Linked DNA regions of Ovis aries. Each later gene encodes a partner of the first gene's protein in a complex. Links are inferred from orthologs where the notes say so. Each region holds a gene or a part of one and is shown in the gene's direction. Other genes may lie near its edges.

The links. The genes of interacting proteins can lie anywhere in the genome.
Region 2: TADA2A (region 1) and MBIP share a complex: the UniProt entries of both Homo sapiens proteins name them as parts of the ADA2A-containing complex. The link is inferred for Ovis aries from reciprocal best matches to the Homo sapiens genes TADA2A and MBIP.

What each region holds. Positions count from the first base shown.
Region 1 is NC_056064.1:13,461,292-13,467,445, forward strand, and holds part of TADA2A (transcriptional adapter 2-alpha), read left to right. Parts: intron 1-1,248; coding exon 1,249-1,320; intron 1,321-3,248; coding exon 3,249-3,381; intron 3,382-3,937; coding exon 3,938-4,304; 3' UTR 4,305-6,154. UniProt on the Homo sapiens protein: Component of the ATAC complex, a complex with histone acetyltransferase activity on histones H3 and H4. Required for the function of some acidic activation domains, which activate transcription from a distant site. Binds double-stranded DNA.
Region 2 is NC_056071.1:44,236,259-44,241,117, reverse strand, and holds part of MBIP (MAP3K12-binding inhibitory protein 1), read left to right. Parts: intron 1-2,162; coding exon 2,163-2,282; intron 2,283-4,028; coding exon 4,029-4,253; intron 4,254-4,341; coding exon 4,342-4,438; intron 4,439-4,859. UniProt on the Homo sapiens protein: Inhibits the MAP3K12 activity to induce the activation of the JNK/SAPK pathway. Component of the ATAC complex, a complex with histone acetyltransferase activity on histones H3 and H4.

The sequences.
Region 1 (6,154 bases):
TTCATTATACTATGATATACATGTATCCATCACCCAACTTTAGCAGTTAGCCACCCAGTGGCTGATCCATTGTCATCTTTACCACCCATTCCTTTCCCATCCTCTTCTGGATTATTTTGAAGCAAATCATATTATTTTGTTCATAATTATTTTAGTATTAAAACTAGTTTCTAGGTGGGGACAGAGTTGGGTGACTCATGGAAATAATATATAGCACTTCCATCATTTTCCTGCCTTTCTTCTCTGAGAGAGATCTACATAGTTACCATTTGATTTCTCACTATAAAAAATTGAAGTTGTTAAGGCAGTAACGCCTGGACTATGAAACAGTCTGGACTGAGGGGCTGAGTCTGTGCCTTTCATCGTGAGATTCAGGTATTTGATTTTGACTCCCAAATTTAGCTCAGGAAAGAACTTCATGAAGGCTTGTATCCTGTTCTCTTTGTGCAGATATTTCTTGCATGACATTGCAGGCATTTATCTGAACTGGCTTGGTTGTCCTCACAGACACCCTGTTTAGTTGGCATTCTTTGTGTGATTTATCCTGGGTGGCTGATCTTTACTTCCTGTCCCAGTTTGTACCATCCCTGGTTTATGTGTCACTCCAGGGAACTACACCCCATGGATTGTCCAGGTTCTTCCTTCATCCTCTTTTTCAAAGCACCCAGATTTGAACATTCCATCACATAATAATCTGAGCAGTGCAACCTGATCTGTGTGCTCAGAGGAGGCAGAAATCTTGGTTTATGGAAAACACACTGCTCTTTTGTCCCTGTAAGAGAAAAGCTGTAAAGAAACCATCGGGAACTTGAGCACAAAATTTTGTCCTTCCCTTGCAAAAAGGTCTGTGTCATGTAATACCAGAGACAGGTTTCATACTGAAATTTGGCTTTGTGGCTAGAGCTTTTAACAAGGAATAAATAGAGCAGGGAAACTTGGTGGTTTAAGAAATTATATTCATTACTACTGTAGCTAAATGAATTCAGCCAGGTCACTATGAAGTTTTCTAAGAAACAATTCCAGCTGCTTTCTGCAACTGGAGACAGAAGCCAAAAGACCACTGCAGTACATTTTTGTCAGCTCTTAAGTAAAATTTCTAATGAGATATTAGCAACAATTAGGATTCCCCAAATGGAATTGCCTGGTCTATTATAGAAGGCAGAATTACTGAAAATAGCAGTAAAAGTGCTCATTGGTGTTGATTTTGTTTTTCTGATTTTTCTCTGTCTTTTTTGGGGGGATAAACAGTGGAATTTGAACTCCGAAGGGAAATCAAAAGGCTCCAGGAATACAGGACGGCAGGCATTACCAATTTTTGTAGTAAGTATGTTTATGCTCCACACTAAATCAGAGGGCAGGTGCCTTCCAAACATATAAACAAGCTTTCACATTTCAGAATGAGTTTTTGATCTTTCCAAAAAGCTTCATCTATTTAATCCTTATAAATACCATTATATGGATTATCTGAGGTGAAATAAAAAGTATGACAGAGTTGCTACTTTCGATTTAGGATTCTGTTGTGGCCTCTTAAAAAGAAAGATTTTGTATTCCAACTTTTAGCCTCAGCCTTTTTAAATTTAGTGATGATCTGATCATTCCCATTAAGCACACTTCAGTTGGTTCTAGGCACTTGCATCCCAGTTACTCGAGTTAGAGATGATTATATTCATGGCACCTAACCATTCACCATGTATTGAACTGTACCCTTTCTACTTCACCAGCTTAAGAGAGGGACTTCTCTGGTGGCTCAGACGGTAAAGCATCTGCCTACAATGTTAGAGACCTGGGTTCAATCCTTGGGTTGGGAAGATCCCCTGGAGAAAGCAGTGGCAGCCCACTCCAGTATTCTTGCCTGGAAAATCCCATGGACAGAGGAGCCTGGTGGGCTACAGTCCATGGGGTAGCAAAGAGTCAGACATGACTGAGCGACTTCACTTTCACCTTAAGAGATGGGTATTGTTATTCTCATTTAATAGAGAAACTAAGGATGAAAGTGATTAACTAGTTGTAGTAGAGCCAGGTTGTAAGAGAAGACAGTTGTGTTAGCAGTTAAGAGCTGAAGTCTAGGCTTGGACAGCTCGGGTTTGGATTCTGGCTCTTTTACCAAATCTGTAATTCTATTTGTTTTCAATTTTCCAAGTCTCTTAGAGCTCATGTGGAGATTAAATTAGAGATAATGCATGAAAACATAGTATAGTACCTGACGCACCACGTCCTCAGTAAGTGGCAGTTTCTGTCGTTTTGTTTTTGTTTTGGGGATGGTCTTCAGCATTCCCTCCTTCCTGTTGATTGAAAGCTATCACCCGTTCACCCAGTGCTCAAGTTCAGCCCAGCAAAATGGCTCTTTATTTCTAACATTGGAAACTGTTTACAAAATGAAATTTTATGTGGAGCACTAACCCATAAATAAAAGTGGAACTCCTTAGGTTGAAGTCTGATGATTCAGATCATGTGTGGAGCCCAGGACCACCGGTACGTTCACAGTAATCCCTGAGATGTTTTCATGGTAACCTGGGCCTCTGTGGAACTTGGCTTGAAACCCACTGGTTTGATATTTTGCATTTTTATACATTAATAGTGTGGAAAACACTATGCAGCTGTTAGCAAGATGCGTGTAAAGACTCTGATGCCAGATTTGGGTTGCCTGATGCTGGCTGTCTCCAGGAAAGAGGTGACCAGAATAGTAATAGTCAATGAGGATTTATTTTTATTTGTAATCCTAACTGGTTTTTAAGGAACAGTGTATGTGTATAGCATTTGTGTGACTTGGAAAAATATATGGATAGAAAAAATAGAGCAGGAAGTAAATATAACAGTATTAAGTTACTTTTAGGGGATGGAAATAGGAGCAACTCCAACTTTCTTTGTACTTTTCTGTTTTGGGGATTCCCTCTCTCAAATTTCTTAAAGGTAGAAAAGGAATAAACACATTTTCATTTCTTATCAAGAAAGAGATTTCAAACTAGGGGAAATCACTTTGCTCTTAGAAAAATAATTCTGGAAGCAGTTTTTCAAAGCAAATTAAAAAACGACTGGGAATCCCCTGGGGTCCAATGGTTAGGGCTCTGTGCTTTCACTGCCATGGGCCTGGGTTTGATCCCTGGTTGAGGAACTAGGATGCCACGAGCCTCATAGCAAGGCCGCAAAAATTAAAAATTAAAAAAGATGAACTGTTTGTTGATGAGTTTGGCAGCCCTTTGGTTAGTCCTGCTACCTTGTCATTGTAGTCACTTTTTTAACACCTACAGGTGCCAGAACCTACGATCACCTCAAGAAGACTCGAGAAGAGGAACGCCTCAAACGCACCATGCTCTCTGAGGTCCTCCAGTACATCCAGGACAGCAGCGCCTGCCAGCAGTGGCTCCGCCGGCAGGCTGACATGTGAGGAATTAGTCCGGGGGACAGCTTCACGGAGCTTTCGGCCTTTACCTGTATTTTCAGACAGTCCCGTGGGTGCCCTACCCTAAATGGCAGAGCTGTAATAATTAGGTAGCTAGAAGAATTCAGAAAGCTTGAGCAGGCTGTCTCAAACAGTACAGTACTGACAGTTTTGAGAAATGTAACTGGCCTCCTAGAATCCCACTTTGCTACTTTGACCTTATTTTTTAAGATTAGTGTATTCCCTTGCCACACCTTCTTCTGTATCTACTGATGTGATTTTCACTGGAAGATCAAATTCCTGCTTTTTGCTCATGAATGGTCTCTGTGATGTGCCACACCAGGACCTCTTAACAAATCTAGGCAATTTCCTTCCCTGGAACAGATTTCCTTTCCTGAGTTGTGTGCAGTTGGGATAGCCTGTAAAAACATAGTCTAGTCTGTCTCATTACTTCTCTTCTAAGTAGCTGACCTGATAAATGTCACCCAGTCTCTCGTGGGCTTTGGGAATCTCTTTCTTTGATGTGACGTAAGTTTAAATTCCTCTTCTTTTTTGTAGTGATTCTGGCCTGAGTCCTTCTGTTCCCATGACTTCGAATTCAGGTAATTGTTTTTCAGGCTGGAGCAAGTCACAATTGTGGAGTTTTCATCCTGGGAATTATAGTGACCCAACAAACCCTCCCGCCTTTGTGGGAGCCAGGTGCTTAGGCAAAGGATTGGTGATTATTATACAGATTCATAAACATCAGCAAGTTGATAGAATCTTCATGGCCAAACAGGAACTTTCCTCGGGTTTACACTACAAAGGCAGAAGGAGAGGACCTCAGACAGGTGTTTTTTCTGTTTTACCAATGTTCACAGACAGTTTGTTTACTATGATTTTATCTACCACAGACTTAAAGATTGTCTCACAGGGGATAATTTAAAGGCTTTGTGTCCTGTATAAGCAAGGAGACACGTTACTTGCCAGAATAGTAAGACTTTCTTTATAAGTCGGAGACTTAAAAGTATTTCTCTTTCCTGTCTCTTCTGGCATGTCCTATTTTGAGGTCAGTTTACAGGGCACGATTAAGCCATATGATATCTGATAATCCTTGCTGCTTGGTAATTAATAAAGGGTAGTGTGGGGTGGTATTAGTTGTAGATGCTGATCTAAGATCATGGTGTTCGTTTGCCTGTTTTCTTGGTTATTATTCATCCCTGCTCCATATGGTAGGTTAGCCACTTCCTCTGATCAGAACGTAGAGACCACTCCCCTGTTTACAGACTGGATAAGTTTCTCACATCCAAATCCTCCCGCAGTCTAAATACAGAAATAAGAAAATTTAATGTTGGCTGATTAAAGTGAATGAATGTACTTGACCTAGCTTCTTTGGTATTTGTGTTTTCTGAACCATTTGCACTCACTCTTGGTTGCTTCCCTGGCGGGCATCAGCTTCCCTCAGCTCCTAAGTGTTTAGGCTGAGATGACTCTTTGCTCCTTTTCACACTCTGAGTTGCTCCTAAGGCAGTGCAGAGTTGGAAACCTGAATCACTGATCATAACATAGCCTCTCGGAACTGGTGAGGCATTTGAGTGATCATAATCTCCGTTTCAGGGCATTTAGGGTCAGGCTAGGCCTAGGACTGCGGAGCAGCTCCCGCTCCCTCTGTTGATACTAAAGGGAAGTCTGTTTCCTTGCAGAGCGAGCTGTAATAGCCCCTCCCCCTGCTCTCCACCAGCTAAGCAGCACCCTGCCCCCACGAAGTGTAACGTAGTATTCTACATTTTCTTTTGCTTAACACAGTCCATTCACTCAAGTTTACATTCAAAACAAATCCCCAGAGTTGCGCATATCAGGCTTCCCCTCCTGGGCAGTGACCTCGTGCTTGGGTCTCTTTCTCAAGGTATGTGAGTTCGCCTCAGCCTCTGCTTTGCCGTATACTGGCTCATTGTTCCTCTGTGTGGGTCTTTCAGGTAAACAGGGCTACTTTGGGAGGAACAGATATTCTCTCAAATAATACATAATGAAGGCCCTTTGCTGGCCTGACTCTGCCTTTGATCTCAAGGTGAATGGTGCCTGGGTAATTACCATGTTTGCCTGCTGGCAGAATGGCCGGTGTTCGGGACTGTCTCTCCTGCAGAGTTGTTATTTCCATTCATCAGCTGTCAAGACAGGTGGCATGTGACCTTTCTTAACCAGATGACATCTGGGCTGTAGATTTTAGAATCTTCTGCTGGATTAGGAAGAATAATCTTATTTGACTCTGAGGTATGTGTGATTATATGTGCATTTTATCAAGGCAAAGGACACTTGACTTACCTTTTTTTTTAAAAAAGTTCTTTCTTTCTTTATCTTATTTTTGGCCGTGCAGGGTCTTTGTTACTCTCGTGTGGGCTTGCTTTCTTAATTGCAGCGAGTAGGGCTACTCTTCATCGCAGTGCGTGGGCCTCTCCTCGTGGTGGCGTCTCGTTGCAGAGCACAGGCTCTGGGCACAAGGGCTTCAGTAGTTGCAGCACATAGACTCCGTGGTTGTCAAGGACTTACTCTGCAGCACGTGGACTCTTCCCCAGCCAGGGAGCGGACCTGTGTCCCCTGCGTCGGCAGGCACAGTATTATCCATGGCGCCGCTAGGGAAGTCCTTGACTTACTGGTTTTGTTTTCAAGTGAACTTTGGGGTACCCGATGTATAGTGGTTTTGTACCTGACAGGCCTGACCATGGTGAACTTTGTTACACTTTTTACTCCTGAGGTACTGTCTCCTGCAAAATACATACCTTTTTCTGTCTGTATCTA
Region 2 (4,859 bases), on another chromosome or scaffold:
TTGTCAAAAAGTAAGATTATCTCATCAATTAAATGCTAGCCAATTTGGTGATACTCTTTATATTTTGAGATGTACTGTTAAAGATACTGAAAGCCAGAATACTATACTTATAAAATTGTTCCTGGTGGAAATAACTATTTCCCTTTGAAACAAGATTAAGAAATTTAAAAAAATCTATGTTGTAAAATGCCTAGTTCCTTCTATATAGTATCATTGTGTTATTAGCTCTCCTCAATAGGAAACATAGAATCAGATGTTAAAATTTTCCTAGCCCAGATTTTGAATTTATTGAATACTGATTTTGCCTCTGGTTGCTGCATTTTACCAAGCTGAAGAAATATTTATTGTTAACTTGGATTTTTATATTAGTGTAATAAAGTTTTTACTGAAATGTGTATTTTAAATAGTTCATATTAATGACAGACTAATACCTTTTTGACTGAATGGTTTACAAGTTCTATAGGTAAAAATGCACAGAATTCATATATTACTAATAGGGAATTTGTTGAATAATAGTTGGATGTATTGGGGATAGTTTTAAAGTTAATTTGTGGCATTGTTATGTGGTTTCTTCAAAGACCAAGTATCTTGCACTTGAAAGTTTATATAATTCTGCTAAATTGAAATGAGAATATAATCCAGACATTCAATTTAATTTCTATAAGTTATTTTCTAGAAAATTTGATGCTTTGCTTTGGTTGAGGATTTGCCTGCGTTATCCCCAAACTGTATTTGTAAGTTTGTTATAATCAATTATAGATTCCTTTAGAACTGTAAAAGTATAGTGATGGGTTACTTCCATGCATAAGCTGTTGAAACATTTATAAGCACTAAAAAATAGAAATTAAGATTAATATGATTTTCTTAATATAAAATAACAAACTAATTTAGTTAAAATAACAAACTAATTTTTGCCAGTGCATCCTACACAAAACTTCTTTACACTTGTCTAATATGGACTTTAAATATTTCTGGTCAAAGGGTGGTAAATTTCTGTCATACAGCATTCATACATATAGTGCCTTTTGGGGAACTTTGGATCTCTTTGGTACAGTGATTCATTTTTTTTGTTTTATTATAATCACAGTTCATAAGATCTTAACTAATAGAACACTTGTCCTTATTTTGTAGAAAACATGACTAATTTTAAATAAATGATTTCTGAAAAAATAAGAGTTAACTTGATCCTGTGATGCAGGATATATGCCATAACACACGTGTCCCTAAAAATGTTTACAGTGATTCACTTTTATTCACTTGAAATACTAAAAATGGAGGCTTTCCCTCTGAAATGTTGACTCATCTTGGTATTAATTTTATATTCAGGTTTGTGGTAGTTTTCTATGTATAACTTTATCGTAATAGGCCATACATAGCCAATTTAGGAGAAATTTTCATGAACTCTTACATTGTACTAGAAAATACTGTTTAGCAGTGAGTCTGACCTTTCCATCCAGTCTTTGGCTGTTTATTTCACTATTGTGGAAAAACATTTGTTTTTAAATTTCAGATTTCCACAGCTAAATAATAGTTTAATTTTTATTTGAAGTAAACATATGCTGCCATGTAGCTGCAGACTTTATAATATATATGAATATGAATATATGAGTTGATTTTTAAATTTAAAAAATTGGTTAAAATTGAAAACAATGAAAATGTGATTCGGAAGACATCAGAGGAATGATATATTTGTTACATATTTATGTGCATATTTAACAAAAACAAATGCAGAAATTATGAAATCAGAACTTTCATAAATGTACCTCCCCCTGTATTTAATGTTCTTAGCTAGAAGCAGTAGGATTTTGAATAGGGCAAGCATTTGTTGGCCCCTATCCAAAAGTTTTCAGATACTGAATTATTAAAAAAAAAAAAAAAAGCCTCATCTTTTCATCTTTCCTGGATAGTTTTACCTGTGAGATGGTCCCATTACACAGACCCAAGAAAAGAATTAGAGATGTCATCTGCTTTTTTCTGAGAACTGGACCTTTCTTGCCTTTTTGGAGTGGTAACTAGGTAGAGCACTTTTATGTATCATTAAAAACTTGAGAACTTTGATCTAAATGGCATGTTATTCTATAGAAATCTTATTTTTGTGACAATCCCATATGTACAGCTTAATCATGTAATTTTTGTGATATTGCTGGTTTGCCCCTTTAAAGCTTAACCTCAGAGATGATGTGGTGAAAATTACAATCGATTGGAACAAGCTCCAGAGCCTCTCGGCATTCCAGCCCGCTTTTCTCTTTAGTGCACTTGAGCAACACGTTTTATATTTACAGGTAAATTTCTTGTTAAAAATGTTAACTCGATACTGAGACTAGAAATTAATTGTAGCTAAATTGTACACTGGAGTATTTGTAGGTTCTGTCTTAACACCTTATTAATACTGTTATTAATAAAAGGTTACTTCAGCCAGATTGGATCTAAATCTTTAATTTACATAGTGATCAGGACAGTTACAGGAATATAGCCGAATGGGCTGCTGTGGGTGTGACAACTGAATGAATGCAGTTCTATTCGATTCCAGACTTGCACTGAAAATTCAATACAGTTGCATCTATGGTGGGTTATAATTAAGCAATAAGACACGGCAGGTGTGTGTCATGCTATGATAATGATTCCATGCCTTGGGTGAGTTTGGAGGCTCATGGAGTGCTTTCAGTGGTTCAAGAAGTGGCATTATCCCAGCATGACACATCCTGGAGTGTCTATTGCAATTAAACAGTTTCAGCATAGTTTTTAAAAAGAAAGTAATTTCTGTGACATTAATGTCTCATATTAGTAAGTAGCCAGTCACTATTTTATGATCTTAAGAGTTTAAAATAATTCATTCTTTATATTAAAAGTCAACACTGAATTGTTAATCTATAATAGTATTGCTATATTTTAAAAAATATTTCAGTTCAATAACCAAACAGTATTATGACCTTACTAGTTTCCAGCTGAACATATTTGCAGTTATTATTGATAGATGTTTACAGTTTATCTCTAATCAAAGTATAAAATATGAAGTGTCATAAAGGTTTGGATTGGTCAGTTTAGTGCCATTAAGATATTATAAGGATTCAGAAGAATTTTTGGTATAGCAGACAAAGGAAGCAAAATTGTAGGTATGAAAAAATAATTGGAACTTTGACAAGTGTTGGTATGTTTTGATTAGTAGAGTAGACAATTTTCAGCCCTTTATTCAGTGACTTTTGGGGAAATTTTAACTGTTTCATGTTAAAAGTAATAGTTAACCATAGTTTTGAAGGGTGGAAGCAATGAGCTATAGGACTCAGTTGAGGCCTAATTTTGTGTGAGTGTGTTGGAGGGGATTGTAGTATAATTTACATGATAGAGTTGTATTCCCCACTAGTATTGTAGGCATCTACCTCTTTCAGCTATGGCTCTTGGTAATGTTTTTCTTTTTTCCTTGTTCATTTTCTTTTTAAAAATTTAAATTCATGACCCAAGAAGATATCTTGTCATGTCAGGAAAAGCCTGAGTGTTCACTCAGCATAACACCTATATATTTCATGTCTATGCTCTCTCATTCACTTTGGCCAACTGCAGTTTCAAGTGGAGAATCTCCAGTGATACAGTGCTAATGCAGGGCTTTGCTGAGTGAGAGCACTGGCTCTTGTGTTAAGGAGGAAAAATACTAAGCCTTAGTGTTCTGAGGAGGCATTTGAATGACATGTTAATTAAGTGGCATTGGTGCCAGAGGCTGAGGCTTTGATTTGGCACAAAATAAAAGATGAGTGACAGAATGATTCCCTCAAAGAAAATTTTAAATTTCCTCAGGTTTTCTTTCTCTTTCCTTTTTTCTTTAAATAGATTTATAGCAAATGATATTGGTCACAATAATAGAGAACAGCAAAAACACTTACATGTGGTCAGATCTATGTATGATGCCAACCTTTTATATTTAGTTAATTGATACTGAATATTGCTTTTACTTAGCTGAAATTTATATAAATATGGTAAATGTGATTAATTTTGATCAGTTTGAACCTCAGCAGATGGAATTGTGTTCTTCTCAGCCTTTTTTAGCAAAACTTCAGCCTCTGATTAAAGAGGAGAATACAACTGTTGTTGAAGAAATAGGAAAAACAGAAACAGGGAACAAGAATGAAGTAAATGCCAACTTTCCCACTGGAGACCTGGAAGAGGAAGAAAAGCACAAAGACGGTGATTTAGGAGATGTGAAAAAGACACAGATCCATTTTGATCCAGAAGTAGTTCAGATAAAGGCTGGAAAAGCAGAAGTAAGAAGTTGGGTTCTGGGGGGCCAAGGGAGTATTTTTTAAAATTTTCCTATGTTTGAATTAAGATGCATATACTTATTGTTTGCAGATTGACAGACGAATATCTGCATTTATTGAAAGAAAGCAAGCTGAAATCAATGAAAACAACGTCAGGGAATTTTGCAATGTTATTGACTGTAATCAAGGTAACTACCTAGAAGAAGTTAATTTTTTTAGGATTTTAATGATTTTTTTTTTAATGGATAACATTAAGAACGCAGTTTAATTATTTCACAGGTTTATTTGGAAACTAAGACAGCAGAATTTTCTTCTGTTTAATAATAGAGTGTATTGCAAAATGGTTTTAATTTTGGTTGTACAGAAATCAGATGCTAACTTAAAAAGGTAAATGTTTACCACAGGTGAAGAGATTGTTTTAAAGTTCCTTTAGGAAATGAAGATAACGTATGGATGACCGGGTTGCTCAGTCACACTAGTAAGAAGGAGCTGAGCTATATAAATTTTAAGTCTAAAGGTACTTATGAAATTATATTAATACATGAAGTTAAACTTAGTAAAGTTAATACTCCTCAAGAGGGAGCAGTTTTCTCACTACTCTTTAGCTGT